4 linked regions of the Neurospora crassa OR74A genome follow. The protein of the gene in region 1 interacts with the protein of each later gene in a biochemical or structural test. Links are inferred from orthologs where the notes say so. Each region holds a gene or a part of one and is shown in the gene's direction. Other genes may lie near its edges.

The links.
Region 2: the proteins of pex5 (region 1) and pex14 form a complex in vitro, tested with the Saccharomyces cerevisiae proteins (3 studies listed by BioGRID). The link is inferred for Neurospora crassa OR74A from reciprocal best matches to the Saccharomyces cerevisiae genes PEX5 and PEX14.
Region 3: the proteins of pex5 (region 1) and NCU08935 form a complex in vitro, tested with the Saccharomyces cerevisiae proteins (2 studies listed by BioGRID). The link is inferred for Neurospora crassa OR74A from reciprocal best matches to the Saccharomyces cerevisiae genes PEX5 and PCS60.
Region 4: the proteins of pex5 (region 1) and pex13 form a complex in vitro, tested with the Saccharomyces cerevisiae proteins (4 studies listed by BioGRID, with this or other methods). The link is inferred for Neurospora crassa OR74A from reciprocal best matches to the Saccharomyces cerevisiae genes PEX5 and PEX13.

Annotation. Positions count from the first base shown.
Region 1 is NC_026501.1:8,571,263-8,575,467, reverse strand, and holds the start of pex5 (peroxisomal targeting signal receptor), read left to right. Parts: upstream 1-1,349; 5' UTR 1,350-1,890; coding exon 1,891-2,061; intron 2,062-2,134; coding exon 2,135-3,877; 3' UTR 3,878-4,205. Other genes in the region: NCU16466 (nucleic acid-binding protein), read left to right, coding at 1-505. UniProt on the Saccharomyces cerevisiae protein: Receptor that mediates peroxisomal import of proteins containing a C-terminal PTS1-type tripeptide peroxisomal targeting signal (SKL-type).
Region 2 is NC_026506.1:2,098,024-2,102,019, forward strand, and holds pex14 (peroxisomal membrane anchor protein), read left to right. Parts: upstream 1-1,446; 5' UTR 1,447-1,860; coding exon 1,861-1,900; intron 1,901-1,980; coding exon 1,981-2,306; intron 2,307-2,362; coding exon 2,363-3,100; 3' UTR 3,101-3,462; downstream 3,463-3,996. Other genes in the region: NCU03899 (HEC/Ndc80p family protein), read right to left, coding at 1-684, 788-838. UniProt on the Saccharomyces cerevisiae protein: Component of the PEX13-PEX14 docking complex, a translocon channel that specifically mediates the import of peroxisomal cargo proteins bound to PEX5 or PEX21 receptors.
Region 3 is NC_026505.1:5,752,015-5,756,122, forward strand, and holds NCU08935 (peroxisomal-coenzyme A synthetase), read left to right. Parts: upstream 1-1,520; 5' UTR 1,521-1,853; coding exon 1,854-3,422; 3' UTR 3,423-3,586; downstream 3,587-4,108. Other genes in the region: NCU08934 (hypothetical protein), read right to left, coding at 1-957. UniProt on the Saccharomyces cerevisiae protein: Catalyzes the first step in a degradation pathway of oxalate to CO(2) to protect the cell against the harmful effects of oxalate derived from endogenous processes or an environmental sources.
Region 4 is NC_026501.1:2,931,249-2,935,280, forward strand, and holds the start of pex13 (peroxisomal membrane protein), read left to right. Parts: upstream 1-1,199; 5' UTR 1,200-1,720; coding exon 1,721-1,775; intron 1,776-1,852; coding exon 1,853-2,383; intron 2,384-2,449; coding exon 2,450-3,237; 3' UTR 3,238-4,032. Other genes in the region: NCU02617 (kelch repeat-containing protein), read left to right, coding at 1-266. UniProt on the Saccharomyces cerevisiae protein: Component of the PEX13-PEX14 docking complex, a translocon channel that specifically mediates the import of peroxisomal cargo proteins bound to PEX5 or PEX21 receptors.

The DNA of each region.
Region 1 (4,205 bases):
TGCCTGCCTTTTCATTGGCAACATCCCCTACGAGACCACCGATGCCGAGCTGAACAACATCTTCGTCGGCATTGACGGTCTCAAGGACGTCCGCGTCGCCGTTGACCGTGCTACCGGCTGGCCCCGTGGCTTCGCCCACGCCGACTTCGTCGACGTTGAGGCTGCCGTCAACGCCTTGGAGAAGCTCCAGGGTACCCAGCTCGGCGAGAGGACCATCAAGATTGACTATGCTCAGCCCGCCGCTGCTCGTCAGCCCCGTGAGAACAACGGCGAACGCCGCGAGTACCGCCCCCGTCAGCAGCGTGATGGTCAGCGCGATGGTCAGCGCAGCTACAACCGCGACGGCGGTAACCGCAGCTACAACCGTGAGGGTGGCAACCGCAACTACAACCGTGATGGTGGCAACCGCAGCTACAACCGCGAGGGTGGCGACCGCAGCTACAACCGCGAGGGTGGCGACCGCAACTACAACCGCCGCGACCAGGGCGAGTCCACCGAGTTCTAAACTAACAAGCCGCAATCGAGGGCATGTAATGGTTACGACATGACTGGGTGAAGAGGATGGGAAACGGATGTAATGGAGGGCAAAACTGGGCAAGTTCGGTTTTCAAAAAAGAAAAGAGGCCGGTTGTGTTTCTTGACAAATGTTGCCAAAATTGGGGCACATTGGGATTGGGAAACTGTGGGATTGGTGTTGTGGCGCCTTTGCAGTACGATCACTCTGCGTACATCATCCTGACCTTTTGCTTGCAATGATACCTGTACAACTACGAAAAATCTTCTCTTCTTTCTTCTTACTGCGACTAGTTGTTTTCGTTTACCATTTTTTGTTGGTTATATCGCTGTACATATGTACGAATAGAGGGGTGGTCTTCTGTACCTTCTTTGCGTCCTGCATCCCGTATGCGTGACGTGACGATCTGCTCGAAACGCATCGTTTGATTGTTCATTTTCCCTTTCAACTTGCGTACATTGCCGTGCTGTCGGCATGCGAGTATGATTTCCGCACTCCGCTGTCGTCCGATTGTTCTCGGCTGTCGTTTGAAGGAACGAAGGGATCGATGATGGATCCGGGGGCGGGGGCGGGGGTGTACTCCACGGGCCGGGCTGGGGTTCGGCTCCATGTGAGGTGTGGTTGACAACACTCCATTGGCGGGGTTACCAGTAATAGCCGCGGCCAGGCAACAAGTGCCTGAGGTGTGGCCGGCAACTGCCACAGCCCAAAAAGACCTAACAAGAGCGCGGTGAGGTGGATATGATGGCTGGCTGAGGTGCCCTGGCTGCCTCGGCATTTCCAGCTGTTCAGGTGGCGCACGGCGGTGCCCCCCTTGTGCCCCTGAGTGACCTGAGCTTTTGGCGCCCAAGGTTCCAACTCACTTCAGATGCATGCAGAGCCCGATTTCTAACCACGCTGCTGCCATCCACACATGCCGGACCCAGACAACCCGCCCGTGCATCCGTGGGCTCCCGTCGTTACTTACAAGACAGCACACCTGCCACACATCCCGCGAGAGTCGGTCAACTTCTTTCTTTCACCTGGACAACTTCAGTTCTGGACACCGCCGCTTGATCACTAATTAATCAACTCCACGAGCTCACCACGCCCGTGCCTGGCTTGTTTGTTACTTCCACTTCTTTTTTTCTTTCCCTCTTCCAAACTAAAGTCATCCTTCCTTTGCCCTGCGCAAAAATCTACCTAGCTACCGCTACTTCCAGCCTGCCTCTACAACTTGCGCGGGCCGCTGCTTTCCCAACAGTCGACCGCATAGCGCTCTACTTCGTCTACCAGATAGTGTACAAGAGCCGCCCATCTTGTCTTCTGTCTTGGGCTTCGTTGTCAACTTTCGCCGAAACATCGCCATTGTCGCATTAATATCCAACATCTTCAAAATGTCTTTCATGGGTGGAGCCGAGTGTTCGACGGCGGGCAACCCGCTCAGTCAGTTTACCAAGCATGTTGGAGACGACAAGAGCCTCCAACATGACAGACTTGCCAACAGAGGTCCCAATGCTGCGGTTGGTGGCTTCCGGAGTATTAACCGCGGGCCTGGCCAAGATGAGGTAAGGAATCTTCATGGATATTGTTGACGGCAAGGCATGCGCTCTTGGCTGACATGACGATCCTCTCGAACAGATGGTGAACGGATTCCTAAACCAAACGCCGGAGATGGCTCATATGCCTCTCGAACAAGGACATATGCTTCACCTCGACCCGAGCCAAGGCGCCCACATGCGCGCCCCGAACGCCTCGCCAGCATGGGCTCAGGACTTCCACAACACACAGGCGGCTATGGAAGCCGCCTTCAATGCGCCGCCTGGCACTCAGTTCAGCGCCGATGAGTTTTCAAAGTTCCAGCAAATGCACCCCGCCGCGGCGCCGGCCACCGCCAGCCAGATGCCTGCTCAGCGCCCCATGATGGGTGGTGGCATGATGGGCATGGGCAACATGAACTACAACATGATGCAGCGACCCATGTACCAGCCCATGGTCGGCATGCACGGCCCTCAGATGCACAACATTCCCCAGCAACAACTACAGCCCGAGGGCAAGGGTAAGGGCAAAGTTGTTGAGCTCGACCAGAACAAGTGGGAAGAGCATTTTGCTCAGCTGGAGATCAATGGTGACGAGGCCCGCGCCATGGAGCCCGAGCTCAACAAGATGGACGAGGCGCTACTTCACTCCGAGACTGGTGCTGGCGATCTCGAATCCATCTGGCGCGGTATCCAGGCCGAAAGAGACGCCATGAAGGAGTTGGACGAGATTGATGTCCAGGACGACTTTGCCAAGTTCGACAGTGAGAACCTGGAAAAGGAAGATTGGACGCTGAACGGCAGGCTCGGCGCGGACCCTATCGTGCAAGAGTACCTCTTCGAGGAAGATAACCTCTTCAGGGAGACACCAAACCCATTCGAAGAGGGTATTCGTATCATGAAGGAGGGCGGGAACCTGTCGCTAGCTGCTCTGGCCTTCGAGGCTGCGGTCCAGAAGAACCCCGACCACACCGAGGCGTGGGTCTACCTCGGACAGACGCAAGCCCAGAACGAGAAGGAAGAAGCTGCCATCCGTGCTCTCGAGCGTGCCATGAAGCTCGACCCCAACAACCTCTCTGCTATGATGGGCCTAGCCGTCTCCTACACCAACGAGGGCTACGACAGCACCGCCTACCGCACGCTCGAGCGCTGGCTGTCGACCAAGTACCCCAGCGTCATCTCACCCAGTAACCTTTCCTCGGCCGCTGACATGGGCTTCACCGACCGCGCCCAGCTGCACGAGCGCGTCACCAACCTCTTCCTCGAGGCGGCCCGCCTCGCTCCCGATGGCGATCACATGGACCCCGACGTGCAGGTCGGCCTAGGCGTCCTGTTCTACGGCGCCGAGGACTACGACAAGGCCGTCGACTGCTTCCAGTCGGCGCTGCACTCGACCGAGCTCGGCACCTCCAACCAGCGCGAACAGATCCACCTGCTCTGGAACCGGCTGGGCGCCACTCTCGCCAACAGCGGCCGCTCCGAGGAGGCCATCGCCGCCTACGAAAAGGCCCTCGCCATTCACCCCAACTTTGTCCGCGCCCGCTACAACCTTGGCGTCTCGTGCATCAACATTGGCTGCCATGCTGAGGCCGCGGGTCACTTGCTCGCGGCGCTGGACATGCACAAGTCTGTAGAGAAGAGCGGACGCGAGAAGGCGCGCGAGCTGCTGGGCGGCAATGCGGGTGATAGCGACTCGCGTATCGATAACATGATGACGCAGAACAGGAGCACGACCCTTTACGACACTCTCCGTCGCGTGTTCACGCAGATGGGACGGAGGGATCTGGCGGAGAAGGTTACTACGGGCGTGGATCCCGAGATCTTCCGTGGTGAGTTTGATTTCTAGAGTGAGTCAGAGTTGGAGTTGAAAGAAGAGGCTCAGGAGTGGATGGTTGGGTATGACGCTATGGAGGATGTTTACTACGATGTTGATGTCGAAATGGAGAAGGCCTTGAAGGAGGAGCAGCAGTGGTGTGATGAGGACTTGGACGAGGGTTACTTGTCGAGTGAGGCGAGTACACTATGTTCGGATGATTATAGGGAGTTTTGGTGAATATACAAATATTAAGTACTGTACAAAGCGAATGTAGCTGGCTTGTCGGGGTTGTTAACAGCTTGTGTTGGGGAGTGAAAAGTCGAAGATGGGGCTTGGTGCTTTTCGGCTAGTGGTGAGT
Region 2 (3,996 bases), on another chromosome or scaffold:
CGCGGCGATTTGGCTCTTGGTGATGCTCTTCTCGTATGGGTATCGCAGTTGTTTGAGTAATGGTGGTACCTCCTGGTCGATATTCTTCTGAAACCGGTAACTCGGGTCTATCCTGTGGTAAAGCCATTGAAACAAGTAGTTGAAGTCCTTCTGTGTCGGCGACTTTGTGAAGTTGTCGGACAGCTTGTGGTTCATCTCCATCTCGAAATTGTTCTTGGCGAGGTACTCGAGCAACTCCTGGCCAATGCGATTTTGGAATTGACGGTCTTTGAGGGGGCGCGGATCGCGAGGCACGCCGGCGGGCTGGGGCGCTTGCTGGAAGAAGCTCATATGCCCACCAGCTAAGGGACCTCCGCCGACGGCCGACGGTCGTGCGCTTGGGCGGTAGACGCTGCTTCGCCGGTCGAGTTCTTGCGATGATCGAGGAATACCGGAACTGCCTGGGGTGCCATAGGGCTTGAACTGCGACGTGTTCATGTTATGAACCGACGCGCGCTTTACCGAGCCCAGGCCAATGTCGGAGGATCGCTGGAACAGAGGTTGGCTCGGTCGCGGGAGGGCCAGAGATTGCCTCCCCGACAGAGAGCGACCATGGCCCGTTCCTATTGTGCCGATGGTGCTTTGTCGCTTAAGTGTGGAGGGTGGTGCCGGAATGCCCGACGTGAGGTTGACGCCATGGAGAGTCTACAGAGAGAGCAGAGTCAATATCGTGCATGGTCGCGTCGGATGGGGAGAGGTTTCGACCGAGGAAACACGCCGCAAAGAAAGTCACGGGGGGAAGTCGCACCTCCCTTGGCCGTCGAACACTCCAAAGGCCTGCGTTGCTGTCTTGCGACATGACGGCAAAGGCCTCGTCAATGTGCGCCTCCCTTTTGCCGTCCTAGTCGCGTGGTTTCCGTGATAATATATAAGCAAGCGAACAAAAGAGTGTTACACTACGTGCAACTGTGTCGGATCGATGTCGGCGATGATTCTCTTGGTGGTGATTATGTCGGATAGCTTTGTAGAGCTAAGGTATGCGCTCGAGTTAATGTGGGTACGTGTTCGCGGCTCTGACAGAAATCAATGCATAACCGCAGTCGCGGATTTCGTCGTGTCGTAGCGATAAAAGTACGTGTACGGCCAGCAACCTAATGCAGGCCAGCATAGGTATGTAGGTAGATTAAGACACCGTAGTGTAGACGGGACTAGGTTGTCGACTTCTGCGGATGGTGGGGGAGGTTGCTCCGTCAGGAAGAGTAAACAAAAGAAAGGCGACGTGGGTGGGGCTGTGGAAATCATTGGGCTGAACAGTGCCAAGTGCACTCCAGTTCTCGTCCCCAAGCATCGGGACGGCAGGTGAATGACGGGAGTGGGTCCAAAAGCGACCTTGAGGGTGAGTGTTGGCTCGCTTCAGGTCAGTGCTTTTTCAGCTCTGCACTCCCGTCTCTGAGCCAGTCACTGCATGGAATGGATGCTCAGCTGCGCTCTAGGCCTGTCGGAGGAAAAGGAGAGTCAGGGGAGGAGATAGTGATTTATCTGATCAGCATGCCTCCACGAGTGTGCTGGGGGTGCAAGTGATGCGAAGCTGTTAAGGTGCTATTAGCAGTCCACGTCTAGTGTACAATCAGGCCCCCGGTCCCGTGAACCTCGGCTTCAGGACTCCATCCAGCGGCCCAGCCATCCCCCGAACCGCTGCCAGTCAGTTCGTTTCCACTTCATCTATCGCATTCAGCCTCCCGTCCTTCGATAATCATTCCATCAACCGCCGCCGTCTGCCATCGCGTCGCGACTGTTTCAGCTGTCTGCTTCTTTCCTCTCGTCTGCCCAGTCTCAACAAGGGAACGCCATCTGCCGCATTTCGATCAAACAACATCAGTCATGGCCATCCGCGAGGACCTGGTCGCTTCGGCGGCGCAGTGTATGTTCTGCCCCTGTCTTGTCCCCTGCTACCTCCTCTACATTGCCAGGCCAGAATCTCACCCGACAACAACACCACAGTTCTTCAAGACCCCAGTGTCGCCGCCTCGCCAATCGAGAAGCGGATAGCCTTTCTCCAAGCAAAGAACCTCACCCAGGAAGAAGTCAGCGCTGCTCTCGCCCGCGCCGAATCAGGAGGTCCACCGCCACCGTACGCCCAGTCGCCCGCCTATGCGCAGTCGGCCGGACCCGTCGCAGCACAGGGTGGCTCTCCGCAGTACTATGGCTATCCCCCATACGCATGGCCGCAATCGAATACCGACGGTGTCAGGCGGGACTGGAGGGACCTGTTCATTTTGGCGACCGTAGTCGGAGGCGCGTCGTACGGCCTATACAATCTCGGCAAGGTAGGCCGCCGAACACCGTGCAATGTACATAAAAGGAAATTCTAACCGTTCGGCAGCGCTATGTGTATCCTTTGATTGCTCCTCCCACGCCGGAGCGTCTCGAGCAGGACAAGAAGTCCATCGACGAACAATTCGACAAAACATTCCAACTGGTTGAGCAGCTGGCCAAGGATACCGAAATCCTCAAGGCCTCGGAGCAGGAAAGGACAGAGAGACTCGACAATGCCCTCGAGGAGCTGGAGACTGTCGTCAGGGACCTCAAGGCAGCCAACAGACGCAGAGACGACGAAGCACAGAGAGTACGGGACGATGTGCAAAATCTCAGGGACTCGATTCCAAGGGCACTCAACAACCAGAAGGACTTGACCGACAACAGGCTGCGCGAACTCAATACCGAACTCAAGAGCCTCAAGACCCTCATCTCGCAACGCATGAACCCAACCGCCACCTCGACGAGCGTCAACAACTACCTTCGCCCCAATACTAACGGAAACGCCACTCCTTCTTCAGCCCCTGCCACGCCAGCCCTCGGCGGTGAGAACGGAGACTTAAACAGCAGAGCCGCGAGTGCGCAGGATGAGCAATCCAGATACCAGCAGGAACAGCAGTTCGCTCAACCTGCTGCCCCCAAGCCTTCGCCTTTCAGCAGCGGAATTGCCTCTGCAGGCAAGCCGACTATCCCTGCTTGGCAGTTGGCCATGGCCAACAAAACCGCGTCGGCTTCGACTGTCGGAGTCACGAACGGTACTACAAACGATGGCTCAAGCAGCAACGGAGGCGACGAAGCCGCTTAAAAAGCTGTTCTCCAGTCAGGCACAAAGATAAAATAGCACCGGAACTGGGAAACCTGGATACATTAATCGGCATGAGCATAAGGCCAAAGTGAGCGACTCCCTCTGGTTTTCTGTATAGTAATAAAGCTCCTGTACGTTGTTCAAGCAGGACAATACACAGGAGCACTTGTGAAGCATGGGACAACCTCATTCAGTCCCCTTTCCATGATAGCGCGTTTGTATTTCTGCAAGGTCTTTAAGCGCGGACGTTGCATGGCATTTTCCTAGAGCATGATATCAAAAGCTACCATTTTCACATCTTATAAGGTTAGGCCGTGAATTGATCTGAGACATCCCGTACACCTGACCGCCCAGTATTTCTGCCTCACTATTTTGACCGCTGCTATGGCATTGCCGAGACAAATTTTTGGTTATTGTCCTCAGCCACCCAAAAAAACTGGAGGGGAGGGGCAAAAAAAAAAAAAAGCCATGATCGAATAGAGATGCGCAAACGGTCAAAGAGGGACAACTGGCTTTGGTTATGTCGCCCTCTATTCAGGACTTTCAGCCACATCGGTACAGTCAGAACACCGCGGCCTCTGTAGAGAACTAAAGGATACATTGTAGTGTAGGTATTGATGTCGCTGCCAAATCATTACCTCAGCGTAGCATATGCGTACCCGAGAGGTCGGATGCGGAATATTCTCTGTTAAGACATCCCGGGTTCAAGGTACATACACCTTCGTGCCATGGTTCAGTTTCCAATCGCATCTAATAGTCCTCGTAGCTATTACTTGATCGGGCAATGCTTGCTTGGAACCAAACATTGACCCCACCCATCATCCCTTTCTTCCTGTGCCAATGTTCTCATAGCGCCTTCGTCTCGCCCAAACCCGAAGGGGATATTGGCCACAAAG
Region 3 (4,108 bases), on another chromosome or scaffold:
CTCTCTCAGATAGCGGCCAGTATCGCGACGAAGCTGGCATCCGCCGAGGCAGATTGGCCAGAAGAGGTTGACAAAGGCCTGGTAGGCATTCATGAACCAACCGCCCGGCTTGCTAGAGCAGCACTTGACGTGTTCGTAGACGAACCAACGGCCGCCCGGCTTGAGATAGCGGTACAGGATGGCAATGTTCTTTTGCGGCTCCGGAATACTGCAAAGGCAGAGGATGGAGACTATGCAATCCAGAGATTCAGGCTGGATCTGAGGCGCGTAGCGTTCAATATCCTCGATGCCAAAGGGAAGGATGGTGTACGTTTGCGACAGGCCTGCCTGCGCAATGTTATGTTGAAGCAGCGGGTGAATGCCATAATTGGGCTCGATGCCATACACCTGCGTTATCCTCTGGCGACTTCCCACCACCTTTTTTGTCGTCTGCTTTTGTTGTTGCTGTTGCTGTTGCTGCTGAGAAGAAGGAGTTATCGTCGCCCAACTAGCCGACAGTCCTTCCTCCTCGGCATCATCTTCCCCTCCTTGCCCCTCCTCCTCCTCTTCATCCTTTAGATACTTGTCATCACTAAACAAGCTAACCCACATGCCACTCCCCGGTCCAATCTCCAGCACGACTCCTCCCACTCCGGGCGCGTGCGCTTCGCTCTTGGGAACGACTTGCCCTTTGGATACTCTGCCTTCTAGCAGGGGCACGACGTTCGCTTCGGCGTTGCTGCGCACTTGGGGACCGGCGCGGGACCAGAAGTGGCCGAACCAGACGGATTGGAATTCAGAGGAGAGTAGAGGACCGCCGAGGAGGGCGAGGAAGCGCCGTTTCCGCAGGAGAGAGAGGACAGTTGTGGGTAGGTAGGAGGCGGAGAGGGATAGGAAGATCCACGGGTCGATGAGGGCGAGGATGGTGTCCTTGAGGGTGGTGAATGCCCCGGTGAGGCGGGAAGGGGAGGGGGCCATGGTGATGGTTTTTTTTACTTTGGTAGAGGTGGTTTGTGGTGTTGTTGTGATAGGAGTGAAGTTTGGTGAGGTAGATTTGTCAAGTGTCGTTGAAGAGAGGTTTGGACTCTTCACAAACAGGGTAAAAGAAGGGTTTGGGACGAAAACGCTGAAAAGAAGGGTCAGCGCTCTGTATAATTTTATAGACCAGCCCAAAACTTTGTTCGAACCTCGTGACACCCTACGAATGGCGTGGCTATATGACTTGTCCAGGTTGAACAAGCCTGGATGTGAGTGAGACTACGGTGTAAGAGGGTGTCGTCCTCTCCGCTTCGGAAGCAGCAAAAATAGGTGATGATGGAGACGCCGCCCTTTGACAGAGCGGCAGACAAACACATTCAAAGGTGCGTGCAAAGGCGGGTACAACCCTAACCCGACGTCTTAGCCCCTTATTTCCCCGCTTTTAGACAGCTGTGCTAGTGGTCCCCTGTGGGCCCATGGAGGTTACCGATTGCCGGCCTACTGCCGAACGCGGAATGGGAGGTATTGAATGGCATCATCGGTCTTGGACCGGGGTGAGTATCAAATGGTGTTCCAAACTCGCCTCCGTCGTCGGCGTTCATTGTAATTCTGTTTTACTCAGATCTTTTTGAGTTTCCAATTGAACAAGTTGTCACTCTGTTTACTCCTTCTGTCTCATTTGTGAAGCTATTCCCAGTAGCGGACTCACTTACACGAAGCGTCTTTGCCCAAAGCGGACTGTCCTTGTACTCGACTAGTGTCATTGGATCAGTCATCACAAGACGCCATCAACATCTTCCGAACCACACCAAGAGAAATTTCTGTAATACCACACCATAAAGGTCACAGAGTTCCACTTCATACTATCAATTGGAAAAAACAGAAAAATCAACGTCATGCCTTGCCCATTTGACCTCCAGGCCGCCATCCAGGGCGCCGATAACGATGTGGCCGTCATCATCCCCTCCAAGCCGCAGGCGCTCACAGTCACCTACGCCGACCTGAAGCGTGAAACCGCTTCGTTCCAGAAGAAGCTGGCAGACATTGGCATCACCAAGGGTTCTCCGGTCTCCATCGCCACCGTCAACTCGTACGAGTTCATCGTCTCTTTCCTTGCCGCCTCGTGGCAGCGCGGCATCGCCGCCCCTCTCAACCCGGCCTACAAGCAAGATGAATTCGAGTTCTACATCGAGGACGTCAAGTCCGCCATCGTGATCGTCCCCAAGGGCGCCTACGCAGCCGGTGCTCCCGTCGTTAAGGCCGCGCAAAAGTTCAACGCCGCCATCGCCGAATCCTACTGGGACGCCGCCAAAAACGAAGTCGCTCTCGACGTCAAGGAACTCGGCCAACTCACCGGCAAGGGCGCCCAGCCCGTGTTGAAGCCAGACGCCGACGACATCGCTCTCGTCCTGCACACCAGCGGCACCACCTCGCGCCCCAAGGTCGTCCCGCTCACGCACCGCAACCTGACGCGCACCATGAAGAACATCCGCAACACGTACCAGCTCACCTCTGCCGACCGAACCATGCTCGTCATGCCCCTCTTCCACGTCCACGGCCTTTTGTGCGGTCTTTTGGCCCCCCTCCTGACAGGCGGCAGCATGATCGTCCCCGCCAAATTCTCCGCCACCGATTTCTGGTCTGACTTCATCCAGTTCCAAGCAAACTGGTACACCGCCGTGCCCACCATCCACCAAATCCTCCTCAAGCACCCGGTCCCCAACCCTCTGCCCAAGATCCGCTTCATCCGCTCCTGCTCCTCCCCTCTATCACCCACCGTCTTCCACAACCTCGAAAAGACCTTCCAGGCCCCCGTCCTCGAAGCCTACGCCATGACCGAAGCCGCCCACCAAATGACTTCCAACCCGCTTCCCTCGGTCGGCAAGCGCAAGCCCGGCACCGTCGGCCTCGGCCAAGGCGTGGAAGTCGTCATTCTCGACGACAAAGACAACATCTTACCCGACGGACAAGAAGGCGAGATCTCCATCCGCGGCGAAAACGTCACCAAGGGGTACCTCAACAACCCCGAAGCCAACGCGTCCTCGTTCACGCGTAAGGGGGGCTACTTCCGCACGGGCGACCAAGGCAAGAAGGACGAGGACGGCTACATTGTCATTACGGGCCGCATCAAGGAGCTGATCAACAAAGGCGGCGAGAAGATCTCGCCGATTGAGCTGGATAATGTCCTGACGCGCCACCCGGCCGTTTCCGAGGCTGTTAGCTTTGCGATCCCGGATGAAATGTACGGACAGGAAGTCGCGGTGGCGATTGTGTTGAAGCCTGGTCAACAGAAGGTGGATGCGGAGGAGTTTAAGCAATGGGTGGGAAGCAAGCTGGCCAAGTTCAAGGTGCCCAAGAAGATCTACTTTACGGATGTGATGCCCAAGACGGCGACGGGCAAGATCCAGAGGAGGATTGTGGCGGAGGAGATGTTGAAGAAGGAGAGTAGGACTAGTAAGTTGTAGGTTTGTGGGTTAGGTGCTGTAAAGGTGTGGATGGATGGATGGGTGTGAATAAGGTCTCGGAACTGAAAGATTGTTGTATACGTAATGGTCTATACGGTTATCATGTCAAGTATTTGGTGCAGAACGTCAAATGTAGAATTCATTTATACTGCGGTTTGCTCGAACCTTTCATCGTTCACAACTGAATGTCAGAATGATCAAAATATGTGGACAGGTGAGTAGATGTACGTAAATTCTCTTCCAAGGAAGGTATACTCACTTGGTTCATAGGAGCTGCAAAGTCACTGACTATGTTGAACAGAATGATGCTGATGGACCGTATCACTGAGGTACCAAACAATCAGTTTACTGACTTGTTCTAACCAGCTGGACGGGTTCTCAGACTTACCTCTGCAAGATCTTGAAAGTCCAAGAACCTGCAACCAAATTCCACTTCGACTACTCACATCCAAATCGCAATATTCCGACTTGAACAAGACACTCTGAATTAATCTACCTGAAGCAACGAGACCCAACAATGAGACGATGATGATGCAACTGCCTTCATGAACGCCAAACTGCGACATGAAAAGCCAAATGAAAACCGACCAAACAACAGATCGTAAACAAACACAATAACAAGCATCTTTCGACAAGCGCTAATACCCTCCTCCATACTTCCATCTCCCGACTCGAGTCCACGGTAA
Region 4 (4,032 bases), about 5.6 Mb from region 1:
CCTTCTGTATGACGCACTGGGGCAGGGTTGTACGCACGCTCGGTTTCCAGAGGCTTCCTCGGGCGGCTCTGGTGGAGCTCTCGCAGGAAGTTGATATGGAAGGCCGTGTGGTTGGCGGTGACGAGCTTGATTTGATGGTGGGGATCGATGGTCGTTACCACGACGGAGGGTCTGGCTCGTCACGGCGTAAAGGGAGCATTAGTAGCAACCATACGCAAGTGCTTGAAAGCGAGCTTGATGAAGACGAGGGCATGGAGATGTCATGAACAGCTAGGTTCCGCTTTCTGTCACGGCAGAGGATGTCTTTTCACCTCGTCGTTATTCTCCTCGTCATTAGATTTGTTCCATACACAAGCACGGACTGGAAAGAGTGGCTAGTTGGACAAAAGGGCGGGCCTTTAGCACGACGGGAATCGGCACTGAAGGGGTCGCAGGCCCGCTAGATGTGTTAGGTCCCTAGTCAGGACTTTGGGTTGAGGTATGACCGATGTGATGGATAGGATAGGTTGGGCAGACTTGGCTTTTCGTGCGATGAGCTTCTCGGCCATCCTTTAGTAAGGAGGCATTCAGGAAACCCAATGGGATCGGGGAAAGATGCTTACTATTCCACAGAGGCATTGCAAAGGCGTTGGCGTAATTGATGGGTATTCATTGTTAGCGTGCATGTAAGACTGGTCGTTTCTCCTTTCTGTCCTACGGCTAGTAGTGTCCATATTGGCAATCCGAACTATTATTCGGACATTCATACGCACTGATCTGAATTTGAGGTTGGCTTGTTGATTAGGTCTTGAAAGAGAACAGCATCGAGCAATTACAAAACAACCGACCTTGGTTGCAACCTGCCAGAATCATCGATATACCGCACCCCCTGAACTTGGAAGTTGGCGAGCTTAATACGTTGACGTGCAAGCATTTCTCAATCCACCATGTTAAGGAACAATTATACTGCGTACATCCACGTTTTCCTTTATCACAGCTTACATCATGCTGATGTTCGTGGAGTGCAGACTGCAGAGTCGTAAAAGACGAGCACGATGCCCAGCATGCAGCTGACCATGCTGGGTCGGTACCTACCTACCATACATAAAGTGTCCATGCAGGCAGTGTTACCCGCTAAAATGTTGCCGAGGTTCACAAGCCGTCCGAAAGCGATAAAAGCAACAGGAGTGGTCGCTCCCGGACTGACGTTCTCCACCTTTCCGCTGCTACGACATCGTCCCCTCCTGTCAATGCTCGATCCCCTCCCCATAGTGGTCTAGGAAAAGTCGACATTTTTATACCCGAAGGGCCCAAAAAGAAGTCGAGAATAAGACTACGATAAATTATCCTCTGATGCCACGCCCGCTGACTCTACTTATTGGCCCTGATCTACTCGCACACACTCTCTCGCGCTCCCCTTCCCTGAACGAATTTACGCGAGGAAGCCGCCAAACCGGGATCCTCAGCTAAGCCCAGCGCCCTCGCCACTGCGGCAACTCTTTGCCAGCCCAGGCGCTCAGCCAGCTCCCAGCAGCAAAGTGCAGCGGTCCTGACGCTTGTCGCATCGCACGCATTCTGTCCCATCGCTTAAGACTGACGACTGGACCATCCCTAACTAGGCGGCCACCAGTAAACCCCCCTTGTTTTCGTCTTCTCCCTTTACCGGTCCATCGAAGTCATTCCTCGAGCACTACCACCGGCCATCAACGGCGGAGGATCAGATAATCCACACACAATCGCCATGGCATCCCCCCCGAAACCGTGGGAAAGACAAGGCGCGACGTCTGGCGCATCGGGTATGTTTTTTTTCCCGTTCACCATTCCATGTGCGCCCGACAAGCAGGGCACTGACATTGAATCCGCAATGACACAGCGCCCGCACCAGCAGCCTCTTCGGCCGCGACGCCATCACCAGAGTCAAACACGACAACAACAACATCAGGCTCAACCCCGGCCATCCCCGCGAGACCTGCCAGTCTGACCGCCTCCGTCAACCAAAATGCCGCCAACTACAGCAGACCAATGGGCGCGATGGGTACATCACCATACGGGGTCGGCGTAGGCTCGTACGGCACAACATACGGCTCTTCATACGGCTCAGCATACTCGTCGCCCTATTCCAGCCCCTATTCCAGGTATGGGGGTATGGGCGGATACGGCAGTTCAATGTACGGCGGTTACGGCGGGTCGATGTACGGCGGTGGCATGTACGGCGGCGGCGGCATGTATGGAGGAGGTATGGGTGGCATGCCGGGCGATCCCAACAACCCGGAAAGTTTGACCAACCGCTTCAACATGAGTACGATGGCCACATTCCAGATGCTGGAAGGCATTGTCGGCGCATTCGGAGGTTTTGCACAAATGCTTGAGAGCACTTATATGGCGACACACTCGAGTTTCTTTGGTAGGTTATATCATCCTACATGCCCACCTCCAGTCAGGCGCAACTGATATACTAACATCAGCTCAGCCATGGTTGCTGTCGCAGAGCAGTTTGGCAATCTTCGCCAAACCCTAGGCTCCATTCTGGGCATCTTCACTATTATGCGCTGGATTAGGACAGTGTTCGCCAAGATCACCGGCAAGCCTCTACCAGCCGATGTCTCCAGCCTCAATCCAGCCTCTTTTGCCATGTTTGATGGACGCGGGAAGGGCGGTGCTGCAGCGGCTGCCGGTGGTGCCGCCGGTGCCATGCCCAAGCCCAGCCGAAAGCCCCTCATCTTCTTCGTTCTCGCTGCCTTCGGTCTGCCCTACGTGATGAGCAGGGTGATCAAGTCGCTGGCCTCCAACGCTGAGGAAGAGGAAAAGAAGCGCCAGCTCGTTGTCGCGCAACAACAAACCATCGACCCGACCAAGCTTGAGTTCTGCCGCGTCCTGTACGACTTCTCGCCCGCCACGCAGGGGAATGGCGAGATCGTCCCGGGCGTAGACCTTGAAGTTCACAAGGGTGATCTGGTTGCCGTTCTCAGCAAGAGCGATCCTCTCGGCCAGCCTAGCGAGTGGTGGAAGTGTCGCGCCCGCGACGGAAGAATTGGCTATCTACCGGCCACCTTCCTCGAGGTACTTAAGAAGCCAGGTCAGCCTGTTGCAGCTATTGCTGGGGCCCCATCCATCAGCATTGACGGCGACACGAGGGCCAACTCGCTGAGCAGCATCCTCAGCGACGCGGATAAGAAAGTGCTGGTTCCGGCCCTACCGGCGGCCAAGGCTAGCGATATTAGCGTCGAGAGTTTCCAGAAGTCGCAGTTCTTTTCTTAGGGAGGCAAGGAACGCAGGCGGAATGATCTCAGCAAAATGCACATCGAGACGTCGCGGTTCATGCCACGCTCTTCTCGGCTTCGACACTCGGTCTCATTCTCTTAATACACGCCTGATCGTGCGAGCTCTGGATCTACCATGTGCAAAGCGCCGGCCTCCTGGGAGTGGCCCAACACCCAATGGCCATCTAATCGGCTTTCCTCTCCAACACAACAATCAGACACAATAGCAAATCAAATCAAAATCGGATTCTCCTTGATTCGGATTCGCCCAGCCTGGTGGAAATGACCACACTTTCCTACCAGGAAAAAATCACCAAGCAGCTACGTAGAGGCACACGAGAGCGCGGTGAGATAATCAGTCGGAGCATTTCCGGAAGTTTTCGAACTCGTCGGAAGGGTGTAAGACGTCACCAAACAAGCATGCATGCCCACAACGGTCAGTTACGGCATTATCATTATTAAGAGAATGACAAACACTCTCACATCTTTATACACCTGCATGACACGATTATTGCGTGGGTAAACGTCTTTTCACCATAAGTCAATACCCGAGCGAGCCAAAAGGGAGATATAGACACAGAGGACGGCCATGGTAAATGGATGAATGGATGCATGGAGTAAGCGGAAGCGGCGAACGCTGAAAGACATGGACGCACGAGGTGTGAAATCGAAAGGGGGGATGAAGGGAAGTGATAGGCGATGTGAGGCGGTGACCACACCGATGGCACAGGGATGGAACGAAGCGTGGCTAATTAGCCTACACAGACAAAGGGGTGTTTGTCTGCTTGAGTCG